Canis lupus familiaris: one gene and its partners. The protein of the gene in region 1 interacts with the protein of each later gene in a biochemical or structural test. Links are inferred from orthologs where the notes say so. Each region holds a gene or a part of one and is shown on either strand. Other genes may lie near its edges. The genes, in order: POU2F1, POU2AF1, SP1 and RXRA.

Region 1 (3,563 bases):
CTCAAATCTACATTTGAAAATGTGGTTTTATGGGTGGGAGGGTATTGGAGGGGTTGTCAGATGACAGAAGATATTGAGAGTGCAGAATTATTTCAAAGAAAAGTTCAGTGATGGCTTCTATGGAGCAGCGACAGCGTCATAGAGAAATTCTCCCTCATGAGAGCAGGCCCTGACCTCAGCTAGCCCCTAAGGCCGTCTGCCTCAGTGCCTCTCTGCTATCCTTCTCCTGTGTACAAGTAAGTCCTAGGAATCAAATCGATGCCTCGGCAAGTGAAACAGTAACCACACGTTACATTTTATTTAGTAATAGAAAATTATTTTAGAACTAAAGCCATTTTGAAGGATCGTTTTCATCCTGTACATCATACTAAAAAACAAGTACTCAAATTTATCAATGATGCCAGTTATTGGCTAAAAGCTAACCATATTTTAATGCGCAGTCACTATACCTTGTTTGTCTTTTGAATGAAAGTAGTTTAAAATCAGCAATCTTGGGATCCCTGGGTGGCGCAGCGGTTTGGCGCCTGCCTTTGGCCCAGGGCGCGATCCTGGAGACCTGGGATCGAATCCCACGTCGGGCTCCCGGTGCATGGAGCCTGCTTCTCCCTCTGCCTGTGTCTCTGCCTCTCTCTCTCTCTCTGTGACTATCATAAATAAATTTAAAAAAAATATATTTAAAAAAAAAATAAATAAAATCAGCAATCTTCCTTAAAAACAAAATAATTGGACTTAATAAATCCTTATAGGAGGATGAGGTACTCTAGGGAGATGAGGCCCCAAGACGGCAGCATGTGTGATTCAGTAGTGCTTGGCTCTCCCCTCCCCTCCGTCCTGTGTGCTCATTAAATTATTTAATAATACAGCTGCTCAGTCTCTTCCAAAATTACAAATACACTTCAGTAGGTGACAGGAAAGTGTTATAAGAGAGAACATCAATGAAGGGCTGCACTCTTTCCACCCAGGTTGTAGGAAAACTCAGTGCATTTGATGTGTTACTTGGCTTCTCTAGAATGGTTTTAACATTTTCCTTTCTGCCTGTTTGGGGGGATTTTGTCTGTAGCTCTTGCTTCCGGTGGCTCTCTTCCAATAACGTCACTGGATGCAACCGGGAACCTGGTATTTGCCAATGCAGGAGGAGCCCCCAACATCGTGACTGCCCCCCTGTTCCTGAACCCTCAGAACCTCTCTCTGCTCACCAGCAACCCAGTGAGCTTGGTCTCTGCCGCTGCGGCCTCCGCAGGGAACTCTGGACCTGTAGCCAGCCTTCACGCCACCTCCACCTCTGCTGAGTCCATCCAGAACTCTCTCTTCACAGTGGCCTCTGCCGGTGGGGCCGCTTCCACCACCACCACCGCCTCCAAGGCACAGTGAGCTGGGCTGCACGGGGCTGCCACTAGCCTTTTCCACTCGCGGCATGATGGGGCTGCCAGCCAGGCTGAGACTGAAAAATGTGATTGGCTTCCTCTTGCCATGTTTCAGCAGCAAGGGAAGAAGGGAGAGAAGGAAAAAAAAAATGCATACCAGAACAACAAAAGGATGGAGACAGGACAACATTTGCCTAATTTTGTAATAAAACACTGTCTTTTCAGGATTGCTTCATGGATTGGAGAACTTTCTAACCAAAAATTAAAAAAAAAAAAAAAAAAGCAGAAACAAAAAAATCAAAAACAAACAAAAAAAGAAGTGAAAGGACTACTTCTCATTTCCAGCAGTCATGGTGACAAGTTAAGGTGGGTACCAATTCCAATATAGGAAGGGGGTTTCTTGTTTGTCTAAATTTCTTTTTTTCTTAAAAAAAAAAATCATTTTTATGGGTCTGTTGTACAGGCCATTAAGTCATAACAAGGTGTTTATAATCGTATCAATTGTGTTGGGGGTTCCTTTCTTAACTGGTACAATTTAGGCAGGCCTGTATTACTGTATCTCTATTATTATTGTTGTTGTTGTTATTGTTTTTTATATATATATATAGTTTGGACATGTTTATCTCTTGCTCCTGGATCCTATTTCAGTGAGCTCCCACACTGTGGGGAGGGAGGGTTTGGGGGTCAGGGGAGACTTACGTTCTTAACTGCGGGGAATGTTCTTGCTGGTTTCCTTATCCTTGATGACTCTTACAGAGGTGCTAGAAAATTATTTTCTTTTGCCACTTATGCAAGAGGCTTGGTGCAGAAGCTGAAGGCAGTGTGTGCAAACACTCCCACTCCACACACGCCCCCTCCCCCCATCAGGTGGTGCCTTTCGAGCACTTTTGCGTAGGAAGGAATTCCTGCTGAACTGTAGCTCTCACTCACCCCAGATCATTGAATGACCCTGAGGCCCAGATCCTGCGGTGCACAGGTGCTGCTTCTGCCACTTTCAGCGGGAACGGCCATGCGTGTTGCAGGACGGGATCTGGGCCCGAAGAGCAAAGACTACTGCAGACACCTGACTTGGTGGTTCTCCTGATTTCTTATCTCCTGAAAAATGCTCCTACTGTTGGTGTGTTTGTTTGTTTGTTTGCATTTTGTGGAAGTTTTTCATCCAAACTTCCTTTCATTTACTTGGCAAAGAGCGAATTGACTGATTGAAATTGGGAAACTCCGCCCTTCTTTTGTTTTCTAAAGGAACTCCACTAGACTATTGCCATCCATTCTATATCCCCAAAGAGGTGTGATGAGAAGAGTCTGAGGCCACCACCTTTGCTCTGGCCACAGACCCCTTTTCACTGGACGGCGCGTAAATCCCTCTAGCCCTGAGACTCTCCTTGCTGCCCTGACTGGGGAACGCACTTACTAGCTGGGCATGGGGTCTTTAGAACCTTTGAAGGACTTTGAGCAGGAACTTTGCACACACCTCAAGTGTCTCCTTGGTTTGTTAGTGATGCTCCAGCTTAGGCAGGTCACAATGGAAATACACGTCTCGCTGTACAATGTAGAAAGTGATATATAGCTTCTGGAATTGTTTTCAGGGTGTTTCTAGACTATGTACATGAGCCCACAGAGAGGAAGAGTTTATGGAAGTAGATGAAGAGGAATGGAGGGTAACATGGAAATTCAGTTCCCCTTCCTGTCAGTGTGCTGTCATTACAGTATCTATACCAGAATATTTCCCGGAAGCCGGGGTCACTGCAGTGGGGCTCATGTGAGCTCCCCTCCTTATCGGAGGTCAAGGTTCCCAGTTGGCGTCTGTGGGTGCTTGCTTATGTCTGTCTCTGGTGGCCCAAGACTGCACTTGCCCCCCTTTTAAGCTGGGGTCTGAGAGAGGGTGTGTAGGTCATTTTCATTCTGATCGCTCTGCTTGTGTCCCAAGGGAGCTTGGAATCTTTGTATTTGTCTCTTCACAGTGTTGAGAAAGGCAGTGACACAGACACAGTGCATATGTTTGTGATCATCCAAGTGGGAGACAGGCACCTTAATATTAAAAGGCCAGAAACATTTTTAGTCCCTTTGTTAGTTTTTCTTTCGTTGCTTCTGTCTTCCTGTTTTATTTCACAGAGTATTTAATTATCAACCTAAATTTCCTCTTCTTACCATTCACCTTCCCTAAAATTCCTCCCAAATCAGTGAACTGCAAGCAGGGAA
Region 2 (3,563 bases), on another chromosome or scaffold:
AAAAAATCAAAATGAAACCTCGCAGTACTACTAGAGGCTCTAGAATCCCCCAGGAAGGATGGTGCTTAGGAAAGAGGCCTTGACTCCACACAATGTTGGCTTGTGGAGTTTTTTAAAACACACAAGAAGCATATGGCAGCACTAAGTGAGGACCCAGTCACCCCTGGGCTTCAGTGGCTCTGCCCCCCCACCCCACCCCCACCCCCGCGGAAGCCCCATGGAAGGTCTGCACAGGGGAAGAAGCACAGACCTATTCATTCTCCTGAGTATAGAGCCCAGCTTTCCTTGCAAGATCCTCAAGGAGAAAAACAAAACCACCAATTAAACCGATATTTTTCTTAAGTTTATTCTCCTTAATCACCAAGTAATCTGGAGCAGAATGGCTCCTTGGACCCTCTTTCTCTCCACCCAATCTTTTCCTCCCCCTCCCCCCCATAGGCACACACACACCTGTTCCCCTCCCTCCTCCGTCCCCTGATCCAGACCCTACCCACCCCCAGGACCCTCACTCCCACCACCTCACTGAACCCCAGGCCTTGAGACTCTGCTGCCTGACACTGTAAGTCTGAGAACAGCAAAGGGGCCACCATGTGAACTGACAGCTCAAGGATTCTGGCATTGGGTCTGCCCTTGGAGGGGCGGTAGGACACCCCATCCATCTTAAAGTGACAGATGGTAGGGCATTGCTGGCCCCCAGCTCGGTGGGGCTGCTGTCCCAATTGATGAACTGAGGCAGAAGTAAAAGCACCTGGGTCATAGGTCTGCAACACTGGTGTCAATATTATCACTAAATCCCTATAATTTCTTCTCAAATAGGAGCTGAAATGGAAAAAGAAATGAGAAAGGAAAAAAGGAATGAAGAGGGGAGGGAGGGAAGGACAGAGGAGGGAAGGAAGAGAGGGAGGAGGGAAAGAGGGAGCAGGGAGGAGAAAGAAGAGGGAGGAAGGAAAGTCTATCATTCTAGTTTGGAATGCAAAGTGTAGTCATAAAATGGCTACTCCAAAGAGATGTGAATCTTGTTCCCTGTTTTAAATCCCAGTTTCAGGGAACAGGATTCTCAGGAGCATGCCCTAAAAGCCCTCCACAGAGAGCGTGTGGTTGAGTGCGTAGGCATCACCATCCTCTTCCTCCAAAAGCAGTTTGTCGATGGTCAGGGAACTGATGGCTCTCCTGGGGTCTTCCATGTCCTGAAGGACTGGCTCAGGGATGGAGATGGGCAGCTGGACAAACTGGGGCCCAGGCAGGGCTGGGGCCGGAGGCTGATACTGCAGGGTGGAGGTGGGTAGAGTGGACAGGGGCTGAGGCCACGGGAAATAGGTGAGGGGCGCCTGGTGCTCCGGGCCCTCCAGTTGGGGCCCGACCGCGGGCGCAGCTGCACTTCTCGTCTGTGATGGAAAGACACAGGATGAAGGGTTAGCAGTGCTGGGGACCCCCTTGGCCTTGCCCATCCTTGTCCTGGTGTTGTCTCCACCTGCTCAGTCTCCCCCAGAAGCCACACAGACTTGAGCTGGGTCCAAGTCACCAGCTGCATGTCCCTGCTCACACCACCTCCCCAGGTGTCCATTTCTCTTCTATATGGAGTTACCTATAGAACAGACACCATTGGGCCGAGCTGATTAGAGATGCTTTTCCAGGTTTTATTGAATATAAATTGCATCCCAATTTCAAAGATATTAAAATGTGGGTGGGGAGAAATGTCCATCTTAAAAATCAGTGAAAGTACAGCATGTTAACAAGCCTGTCCCCTGGCATGGTAGCCATATCCCAAAGGTGGCTGGCTACTGGCAGGCCTAGACACAAAGACGGCCCTGGCTCCCTGGCTCCCTATGGCAGCCTTGACATCCTGAGATCCACCCAAGCCAACAGAGCCCCACTCACCTCCCTCCTGTTCTGGGCAGACCTAGAAGCTGGGGAAGCACTACTGTGTTAGTGAACTAGCCTTTCCTTAAAGCTTCCCGGCGCCTTCCACGTCCTCGTCCTCATATCTCTGAGCTGGACCCCCATGGCTCTCCCAGGGTTATTTTCTCAGGTGCCCTGCAAACTATGCCTCTCACCTGTGCAGCTACCACACTGCAAACCTGAGGTCAAGCCTGCAGGAGAGAAGGGCCTGGGTCCTTCCTATCTTCTACAGCTGAGGAAGCAGGTGGAGGAGGAAGGTCTCTACATGAAATGATGTAAGAGAGGCCCAAATCCGCCCCCCCCACACACTGTCCCTCATTCCCCCATCCTATCTCTGTCTGGTTGCCACTGTGTTGTGAGAGTAAACCATTAGAGTCATTTCAGGAAGAGTTTATGTCAGTTTCCTGGGAATCTTGTTATGATGCAGATTTTGGTCCAGGAGGGCTGGGGTAGGGCCTGGGATTCTGCAAGTCCACTCAGATCCTTGGTGATGCCACTGTGGCTGGTCCAGGGACCATAGTTGGAGTAGCAAGGCTTACAGTGTTTTCCTACAGAATGGTAGAGCTGGAAAGGGTCTCAGAGGCCTTCCAGCTTCCCAGCAAAGCCTTAAAATTTCCAGTTCTTCAAAAATCCAAATGGAAATCCTACTTTTTTGAGTCATAAACCCATGCAGGCCACCTGTAATTGCAGGTTTCTTTACTCAGAGATGGAATTCTGTCAACCCAGTGCTACAACAGGTCTTAGCTCCTGCTCATCAGGAGTGCTGACTGGTAGCTCCAACCAGCTTTGATGAGTTAATTACAAAGTGGCAAAACAAATAAATTATTTCTTAATAAATACAGTCTGTTTAATACACAGAACCTTTCAAAGTAGGAGGTGGAGATAATGAAAGGTAAATAATGAAAGAAATCCTTGGGGTTGAAATGACTGGGAACAGTTATATCTGCCACCTCCTCCCCCCACCTAAGGCCCCCGATATGGAAATGAGTTGCTTGGGAAAGGTGCTGAAGGCACTCCTTCCTAGTACCACCATGTAGGCCCCACAACCGGTTTGCTGGGTAGCCAGGGGGCACAGGGCAGGAGGGCTTCTGTGGGCCCTGGGCTGGATAGTGATGAAAAGGCAGGTGCATCAGGATGACACTCAACTCTTGAGGGAAATGGACAGGAGGCAAGGAACCAAAGCAAACTCCATCATCAACGTGGGCTTTGCAGCTACTCATGAGGCCCCAGCTCCACCTCCCACAGTTTACCCTGAACTGCAGCTGGATATGGCTACTCCCACGGAGCTTTCCTTCTCTGAACGCTTGGGGGATTCCCATTCCTTTGCTCACACAGGTGTCACTCATATAAAACTATTTATCTTCCTTTCTTCCTTCATTCCTTTCCTATCTGGCACTTGAAGGAAGCCCTTAGTTAATGCTGCTGGCCGACTTTGAGACAATCATAATAACACTTATGGAGAGTTTTCTGTTTGCCAGGAACTATGCTAAGTCCTCCACATGTGCCCTCCCACTGGAGCCTGGCATCAGCTCTCTTATCAGTATTCTCATTTCACAGATGTGGGCACCAAGGCTCTGTGGTCTCCTAGCTCCTAAGTGAAGGGATGAAGGGAACCCAGGCAATCTGATGCTAGAGGCAACACTCAAAAAATTATCCTGCAGGTG
Region 3 (4,313 bases), on another chromosome or scaffold:
CCTGAGGGGAGACCAAGGCGGGACTCGACCCCGGGACCTCGGGGTCACGCCCTGAGCCGAAGGCGGACGCCAAACCGCTGAGCCCCCCGGGGATCCCCGGGATCCGGACTTTAAAGCGTGACCCCAGGTCACCAAGTGCCGCACTGAAAATAATTTAGTGACAACACGAAGATACCAGGAGGGGCCGCAGGGAATGACCTCCGTGTCATTGACGACTCACCCAGGCCGCCTCCACCAACACCAGGGGAGGGGGGGGAAGCGAGGTAGAACGGGAGGTGCCAGAAACGCAGGTGTCTGAGGGGAAAGTGTCCTGTGACTTTGGTTACAAAGGCCCGCGCTCTCCTCCTGCCGTCGGACGGGGTGTGTGGGGAAGGAGAGGCAGGAAGTGGCTGACAGGACGCGGACTCTGGGAGGTCCTCCAGGCCCAGCTCTCGAGAAAGTCAGCGCCGCGGAAGGAAGCCGCCGGCCGCCGTCTGCGGGAGAAGTCGGGAAGATGGCGTCCGCCGGAGTCGCACAAAAGCCCTTGCGGACGGTCGGCGCGGGGTTGGCCGGGCGCGCGCGCACCCACAGGGCCGACACCCACACTCCGAGGCGCCCGCCCGCCCGTCCGCCCACCGCGGGGAGGGGGACGCTGGGGGGGCCCCCGAGAGAGCGGCCGGCGGGAGGCAGAGCCGCGCTCCGCCCGTCTCGACCCTGACACTTGTTGCGCAGCACGGCCCCACCGAAGCGCGCCACCTAACCACTGCAAAGACGTCCCCTGAGGAGGGCCAAGATGGCGGCGGCCTCCTCTTGGCACAGCCCTGCTCCCTCCCCCGCGACGGGCGGCTCTGGCGGCGCCCATTGGCCCCCCTGGGGGCGGGGCCTGGCCCCCTTCGCCGCCTCATTGGGCGGACCGACTGAGGGAGACGCCGCTTCTCCTCGGCCCACCCCAAAGTCCCGCCCCCGGAGTGCATTCGGCGTTCAATTGGCTTCTCGTTCACGTCAATTTGCGTCCCCGCTTGTCTTGTCTCAGCGTTGGCCCAATCCTAACTTTCCTGGCTGCCCGCCTGATTTCTGATTGGCTGTGGTCGGCTTCATCCTATCCCATTTCGGCCTGCTTCTTACCCCCTCCCACCGGGGACTTTGCCCAGGCATGTCCGGGCTTCTGGTTGGCCGATGTTCTGTCATTCCAACCTAAGCTCTCCCTATCCCCACCGTTCAGGGAGCCCGCCTGGCGGTTGACTGGCTCCCTCCCAAGCCTGTCATCACTAGCTCCCGCCCACCCCCACTTCCTGCGCCTTTCATTGGGCCTTAAAACTGAGAGGGCGGCCTCCCTGGGCGGACACCAGGCTCGCAACTTTGTCCTACACGCCTTAGAGAGCCAGTGAGCCTTGCCATTGGATGACCCACGCGTCTTTCTTCCGCAAGTCCCGCCTTTCTCCCTCCCTCATTGGGCGGGGCAGCAGCGAAGGGGCGGGGCCTAGGCCGGGCTTGTGGCGCGCTGCTCCCTCCTCCTTACCCCCCCCCTCCCTGTCCGGTCCGGGTTCGCTTGCCTCGTCAGCGTCCGCGTTTTTCCCGGCCCCCCCCAACCCCCCCGGACAGGACCCCCTTGAGCTCGTCCCTCAGCTGCCACCATGAGCGGTAAGGATGAGTCCACTCCACGCTTAGGGGTGGGAGGGGAATGAGGGGGCGCGCGCGAGGGCCGACCGGGCGGTCCCCGCCGTGAGGGGGGGCGGGCGGGAGGCGGCGGCGGCGGCCTTGGTCCCGCCCGGGGCGGAGGGAAGGGAGGGAGAAGGGGCAGTGGCGGGGCCTGCGAGAAAGCGGGGGATGGGCCGCCCGCCCCGGGGGAGGGGGCAGCGTGGCCTCGCCCGCCCCCTGCCCGCCCCGGCCACGGGGGACGGGCCTTACCCCCCACTATTCGGCCGCCCGCCTGAGGCTCCTCCCGCCGGGGGCTGGAGCCGCGGGGGCGGCCCGAGCAGTGCAGGCCCCGCCCGGGCCAACCGCCTCCCCGGTCCGCCCTCTGGTCGCCGCCTGCCCCAAGGCCCTCCCCTCCCCCCGTAGGTTTCCCCTCCCCCCCACCGTCCCGCCCTTTCCACGCCCCTCACCCCGAAACCGCCCTTTCCTTCCAGGGCCCGCCCTCTGTCCGCCCCGAAACCTCCAGATTCGTAACCCCTGGACCCCGTAGCCCCTTAGCCGTATCCACAAATGTTTCCCCACTCACACTTTTTTGTTTTTTCTTTCCCCTTTGCCCCTCTTCTCCTCGTGCTGCTTTTTACCCTTGAGTTTTTCTCTTTCTCTATATTCTTTGACCCTAATTTTAGCAAGCTTTCCATCCACCCACATGTTGTTCTTTGCCTTACCTATCCCTCTCCTTTTTATCCCCAGGATACTTTTTTTTATTTTGAAACTCTTTGAACATGTCCATCGCCCCTCACATTTCCTATACGAAAAGTACATTTTTAATGTTTCCTGGGTGTAATTTTGTGCCAGGGAAGAATTGAGGCCCAGTTTCAGCACTGCTAAGCCAAGTCTGTGTTCTATGTGTCCTACAATTGCCCTTTCCTCAATCCACTTTTTTTTTTTTTTTTTTTTAACGCTGGTGCCTTTCACCTTACTGTTAATTATTTGTTTCATCATAGCGTCCTTTATCCCTCCTAACCTTACCCTTTTCCTTCCTCCAACTCTAAGTTGTTTATCTTTTAATTCTTTTTAGACCAAGATCACTCCATGGATGAAATGACAGCCGTGGTGAAGATTGAAAAAGGAGTTGGTGGCAATAATGGGGGCAACGGTAATGGTGATGGTGCCTTTTCTCAGGCTCGAAGCAGCAGCACAGGCAGTAGCAGCAGTGGAGGAGGAGGAGGGCAGGTAAGTGATAAACCAGGGCAGAGTAGGGGAGATGTCTAGAGAATGTAAATATTCTTAGATTATTGTCTTTTCACAGAAACGTTTTTAGGAAAGCGCTAAACCATTTTGTAGCTAGGGAAGTTAGCACAGAGAGACAAATGATTGGGAGATCTCCAGAGATGAGGATTTCAGCAGTATGGATAGGTCAGCTTTTTGTTTCAGGTTTTTTTTTTTTTTTTTCCCTCTCTTTGGCTGCAGTTTTGCTGTTTATTTGTTTTAAAACTGCCCCCAGGGCTGGCAGCTGGGTGTCTCTGACTCCTATCCTCTCCCTTATTTTCCGGCCAGGAATCCCAGCCATCCCCTCTGGCTCTGCTGGCAGCAACTTGCAGCAGAATTGAGTCACCCAATGAAAACAGCAACAACTCCCAAGGCCCAAGCCAGTCAGGGGGTACAGGTGAGCTTGACCTCACAGCCACACAGCTCTCACAGGGTGCCAATGGCTGGCAGATCATCTCTTCCTCCTCTGGGGCTACCCCTACCTCAAAGGAACAGAGTGGCAGCAGTACCAATGGCAGCAATGGCAGTGAGTCTTCCAAGAATCGTGCGGTCTCTGGTGGGCAGTATGTTGTGGCCGCCACCTCCAATTTACAGAACCAGCAAGTCCTGACAGGATTACCTGGAGTGATGCCTAATATTCAGTATCAAGTAATCCCACAGTTCCAGACCGTTGATGGGCAACAGCTGCAGTTCGCTGCCACTGGGGCCCAAGTGCAGCAGGATGGTTCTGGTCAAATACAGATCATACCAGGTGCAAACCAACAGATCATCACAAATCGAGGAAGTGGAGGCAACATCATTGCTGCTATGCCAAACCTACTCCAGCAGGCTGTCCCCCTCCAAGGCCTGACTAATAACGTACTCTCAGGACAGACTCAGTATGTGACCAATGTACCAGTGGCCCTGAACGGGAATATCACCTTGCTACCTGTCAACAGCGTTTCTGCAGCTACCTTGACTCCTAGCTCTCAGGCAGTCACTATCAGCAGCTCTGGGTCCCAGGAGAGTGGCTCACAGCCCTCCACCTCAGGGACTGCCATCAGTTCTGCCAGTTTGGTATCATCACAAGCCAGTTCCAGCTCCTTTTTCACCAATGCCAATAGCTACTCAACAACTACTACCACCAGCAACATGGGAATTATGAACTTCACCACCAGCGGATCAGCAGGGACCAACTCTCAAGGGCAGACACCCCAGAGGGTCAGTGGGCTACAGGGGTCTGATGCTCTAAACATTCAGCAGAACCAGACATCTGGAGGCTCTCTGCAAGCAAGTCAGCAAAAAGAGGGAGAGCAAAACCAGCAGACACAGCAACAGCAACAAATTCTTATCCAGCCTCAGCTAGTTCAAGGGGGACAGGCTCTCCAGGCCCTCCAAGCAGCACCATTGTCAGGGCAGACCTTTACAACCCAAGCTATCTCCCAGGAAAC
Region 4 (3,563 bases), on another chromosome or scaffold:
GTCCAGGTTGGCCCAGTTCCTGATACGTGACAGGCGTACCAAGTGGAGACCCGTTTTTGCTGAGACCAGGGTCCTCAGTGCACATCCTGGCAGTGGGGCAGGAGGGACAGGTGAGCCAGGTGTGCTGGTGCTGGGCCTCCAGTGGGGGCCGGCAGGGAGCACCCCCCACCGAGCCAGCCTCCTGCCCCACTGGGCCACCTGCACGAGCTGGGTGCTGCCAAGTGCACCACCGGCGGAAGGCTGCACGACACCAGCTGTATGCCAGGCCAGTGCTGGGCGCTGCGGGAGCATCCCAGGGCAGCCCATGTGTGCTTGGGGCAGTGGGAGAGGTAGCAGCCGGCCCAGAGGTAGGAGGAGGCTGGGCATGCCCTGTGGGGGATGGATGGCAGGGAGACAGAGTGACTCCAGAGTGATCCGCAGTGGGGGGAAAATGCACTTGGGGCCAGCTCTGCCCCCGGCAGAACTCTTGTCCCCGGGCTGTCGGCCTTGGGGCCTGGAGAGCCTGTGGGCTTGGGTGCCTATGGGCTTGGGGGCCTGTGGGCCTGGGGCCTGGGGACCTGGGGGGCCTGGGGGCCTAGAGGCCTGGAGGCTTAGGGGCCTGGGGGGCCTGGGGGCGTAGGGGCCTGGGGGCCTGGGGGCTTGGAGGGCTTGGAGGCCTGGGGGCCTGGGGGGGCCTGTGGGCTTGGGGGCCTGGGGGCCTGTGGGCTTGGGTGCCTATGGGCTTGGGGGTCTGGGGGGCCTGTGGGCCTAGGGGGCCTATGGGCTTGGGGTCCTGGGGGCTTAGGGGGCACCTAGATGCCTGGGGGCCTGTGGGCTTGGGTGCCTGGGGGCCTAGGGGACCTGGGGCAGGGCGTGCCTTCTGGAAGAGCTTTCCCTCTAGCTGGGGCTAAATCCCCACACCCAGAGCCATCAGGGGAGGTGGTAGGGGCGGCAGAGGCCTGGGTCCTCGCCCTTACTCACCATATGACAGGGTAACCCCTACCCTGCCCTGGGCCTGTAGGATTGTAGTCAGGATGATGTGTGACAGGCTGTGTGGGGCCATGAGTCACGGAGCCCGGGGAGTGTGGCAGTGTCAGTGCTGCACCTGTGGAAGCGGCTTGGGGCTTCCCCGTCCACAGGACTCATTGAGATCCCAGCACAGAAATAATTTCTATTTCAAGTTTTGCTTCCATACTTTCTCGTAACCCTTGACACCCACCCCAGTTGTCTGCACCGGGATCTCATGAAAATACTGTCCGGTTCGCCTGAGGCTTTAACACACCTTATGTCAGTTTAAGAATTTATTCTTTTGCGGTGCCCCCCGTAGCACATGGGAGTCTGAGAGTTTGCTGCTGAGACCAGGTTGGCAGCAGCTGCCCCGTGGTGTTCCACAGAGAGGCCCTCTGTCCTCCATGGCAAGAGTGTCCGGCACTTGTGGGAGGAGACTTCCTGGGCACATGGGCTTGGGAGCACCTGGGTTGAACAGAGCCAGAGGGGATGCTCCGTGCAGGACTTCTTGGGAAACTTGTTGCCCTAGTTGGCATGTGGCTCAGAATCTCGGGGTCCGCGGCACCTGCAGTGGGGTGTTCTGTGCTGGTGCGGCCCATGGAGGGCGGAGTGGCCGACCCATCATGGGGAGGGACACAGCCACGTGACCGTGCACCCTCCCCTCCCCGCCCAGGCTGGAATGAGCTGCTCATCGCCTCCTTCTCCCACCGGTCCATCGCCGTGAAGGACGGGATCCTTCTGGCCACCGGACTGCACGTCCACCGGAACAGTGCCCACAGCGCGGGGGTGGGCGCCATCTTCGACAGGTGGGTGCCCCGGGCCAGGTTCGTGGAGGGTGTGGATGTGGACATGGAAATTGGCATACAAGGACACAAGTTCAAGCCTTTGCACGTCCATCCACCGGAGACTTGACGACCCCAGCGTAATGTGAGGGTTCATTTCCTCCCGGCTCCTTTCTTTAACATCCTGTATCCCGTACGTGGAAAGAGGCGCCGTGCTCCTTGGGCGGAGGTTATACAGCAGGTGCAGTCCAGCAGTGGCCCTGGGTCTTTGGAGCCGCAAGCCCTCGGCTGCATGTGTGCCACTGCTCCTCCTCCCCGACCGCAGGTGGGCGCGCGCCTCCCTGCACCCCTGCGTCCCCTGGCTCCCCAGCAGAGGGGCAGCACTGGGCAAGGGGGCGGCCGCATGTCTCCATTCTAGCTGCTCCCCAGCCACTCAGCCCGCTGGAGGAGGAAGGGCCGGGAGGGACACACTGTGGGCCATGGGGGCAGGAAGGTGGTGGCAGGGCTCCCAGGGAACCCCCGAGCGGAAGAGCCTGGGGTCAAGGGTGCACAGACCCTCCCGGGAATCACCCACAGGAAAGTGAATGCAGGAACTGTGCTGCCCTGCGGGCAGTTCTGGTAGAACGGAGAAGGAAGCCCTGGAGCCCACTGGGATGTGCCAAGTGCAAGTAGGGGTTGTGGCCACATACACTGGCAAGCACTGGTTTTGCAGGGGATAGGTGGTGTGTCTTTGTGCAGTACTTCTCAGGGCCTTGAGAGAGGAGCCACCAAAGGCTGCTGGGAGTATGGCACTTCAGTGCCCCCAGAGGCCCCTTGTAGAGAGTGCAGTGCTGGGATGGTACTTTGGTTTAGAAACGCAGCCCCGCCACACTCCCAGCTGCTAGGGCAGTAACAGGGACAGAGGCTTGGGCTTCTACCCAAGGAGCAGCGGCACAGGGAACCAGCTACTTGCCATTCAAGTGTGTGGAACTTGTGACCCCTGCCTCAGGGCATCCCCTGGCCACAGAGTGGTGGACATCCGAGCGCCCGTCCCCTCCCACCCTGTCTTCGGTCTCCAGGGGACCGTGTCCCTCTCCAGCCTGCAGACCCTCGGGGACTCTGGCTCCTTGGGGTGACCGTCCAGGCCCTCCCCAGGCCACTGTCCTCTGTTTCCCTATGGTCCAGCCTCACTGACCACTTAGCACTTCCTGGGCACAGCCATCGAGTTTGGGGAACCAGAGACTGGGCTGATGGGGTCGGGGAGCTCAGGCTGGGGATTTGGGACCCCATGGGGCGGGCCAGTCAGGCTTGGGTCAGAGTCCCGCCCTCTGACAGAGCGGGAGGGGAGCCCCAGTCCTGGGCTGGGCAGCATCCCGGGGGGTGGGGCCTGTCCTCCAGCTGCTCCCTGGTCCCCATCCAGCCTCCCTAGCCCGTCCTGGGGGTCTTTCTGGGGCGGGGGTGCCCTGGTGAGGGGCATGGTCTGACTCAGGCCGTGGTGTTTGCCTGCTTCCTCTGCAGGGTGCTGACAGAGCTCGTGTCCAAGATGCGGGACATGCAGATGGACAAGTCGGAGCTGGGCTGCCTGCGTGCCATTGTCCTCTTCAACCCGGGTACAGCTTTCCTGGCATGGCCTGCCGTCCGGCCTCGGGCCCGAGAAGCCCACTCGTGCTGCAGACTAGCCATGCCGCCTTCTTCTTGTGGCTCCCAGGAGTGGGACGCACGGCAGCCACTGCATGCAGCGGGGGGTGGAGGGCGGGGGGGTGGATCGAGAGCCGTGCTTGTTTCATGCTTTGGCCTGGCCTCGGGCCGAGCCTT

Evidence for each region.
Region 2: the proteins of POU2F1 (region 1) and POU2AF1 are reported together in a solved structure, tested with the Homo sapiens proteins (2 studies listed by BioGRID, with this or other methods). The link is inferred for Canis lupus familiaris from reciprocal best matches to the Homo sapiens genes POU2F1 and POU2AF1.
Region 3: the proteins of POU2F1 (region 1) and SP1 form a complex in vitro, tested with the Homo sapiens proteins (3 studies listed by BioGRID and IntAct). The link is inferred for Canis lupus familiaris from reciprocal best matches to the Homo sapiens genes POU2F1 and SP1.
Region 4: the proteins of POU2F1 (region 1) and RXRA form a complex in vitro, tested with the Homo sapiens proteins (2 studies listed by BioGRID). The link is inferred for Canis lupus familiaris from reciprocal best matches to the Homo sapiens genes POU2F1 and RXRA.

Annotation. Positions count from the first base shown.
Region 1 is NC_049228.1:30,914,580-30,918,142, reverse strand, and holds part of POU2F1 (POU domain, class 2, transcription factor 1), read left to right. Parts: intron 1-1,060; coding exon 1,061-1,371; 3' UTR 1,372-3,563. UniProt on the Homo sapiens protein: Transcription factor that binds to the octamer motif (5'-ATTTGCAT-3') and activates the promoters of the genes for some small nuclear RNAs (snRNA) and of genes such as those for histone H2B and immunoglobulins.
Region 2 is NC_049226.1:21,727,499-21,731,061, reverse strand, and holds the end of POU2AF1 (POU domain class 2-associating factor 1), read right to left. Parts: intron 1,386-3,563; coding exon 1,071-1,385; 3' UTR 322-1,070; downstream 1-321. UniProt on the Homo sapiens protein: Transcriptional coactivator that specifically associates with either POU2F1/OCT1 or POU2F2/OCT2. It boosts the POU2F1/OCT1 mediated promoter activity and to a lesser extent, that of POU2F2/OCT2. It recognizes the POU domains of POU2F1/OCT1 and POU2F2/OCT2.
Region 3 is NC_049248.1:44,804,155-44,808,467, forward strand, and holds the start of SP1 (transcription factor Sp1), read left to right. Parts: upstream 1-1,508; 5' UTR 1,509-1,613; coding exon 1,614-1,620; intron 1,621-2,099; exon of another isoform or gene 2,100-2,507; intron 2,508-2,692; coding exon 2,693-2,847; intron 2,848-3,171; coding exon 3,172-4,313. UniProt on the Homo sapiens protein: Transcription factor that can activate or repress transcription in response to physiological and pathological stimuli.
Region 4 is NC_049230.1:50,625,084-50,628,646, forward strand, and holds part of RXRA (retinoic acid receptor RXR-alpha), read left to right. Parts: intron 1-1,660; coding exon 1,661-1,793; intron 1,794-3,266; coding exon 3,267-3,358; intron 3,359-3,563. UniProt on the Homo sapiens protein: Receptor for retinoic acid that acts as a transcription factor.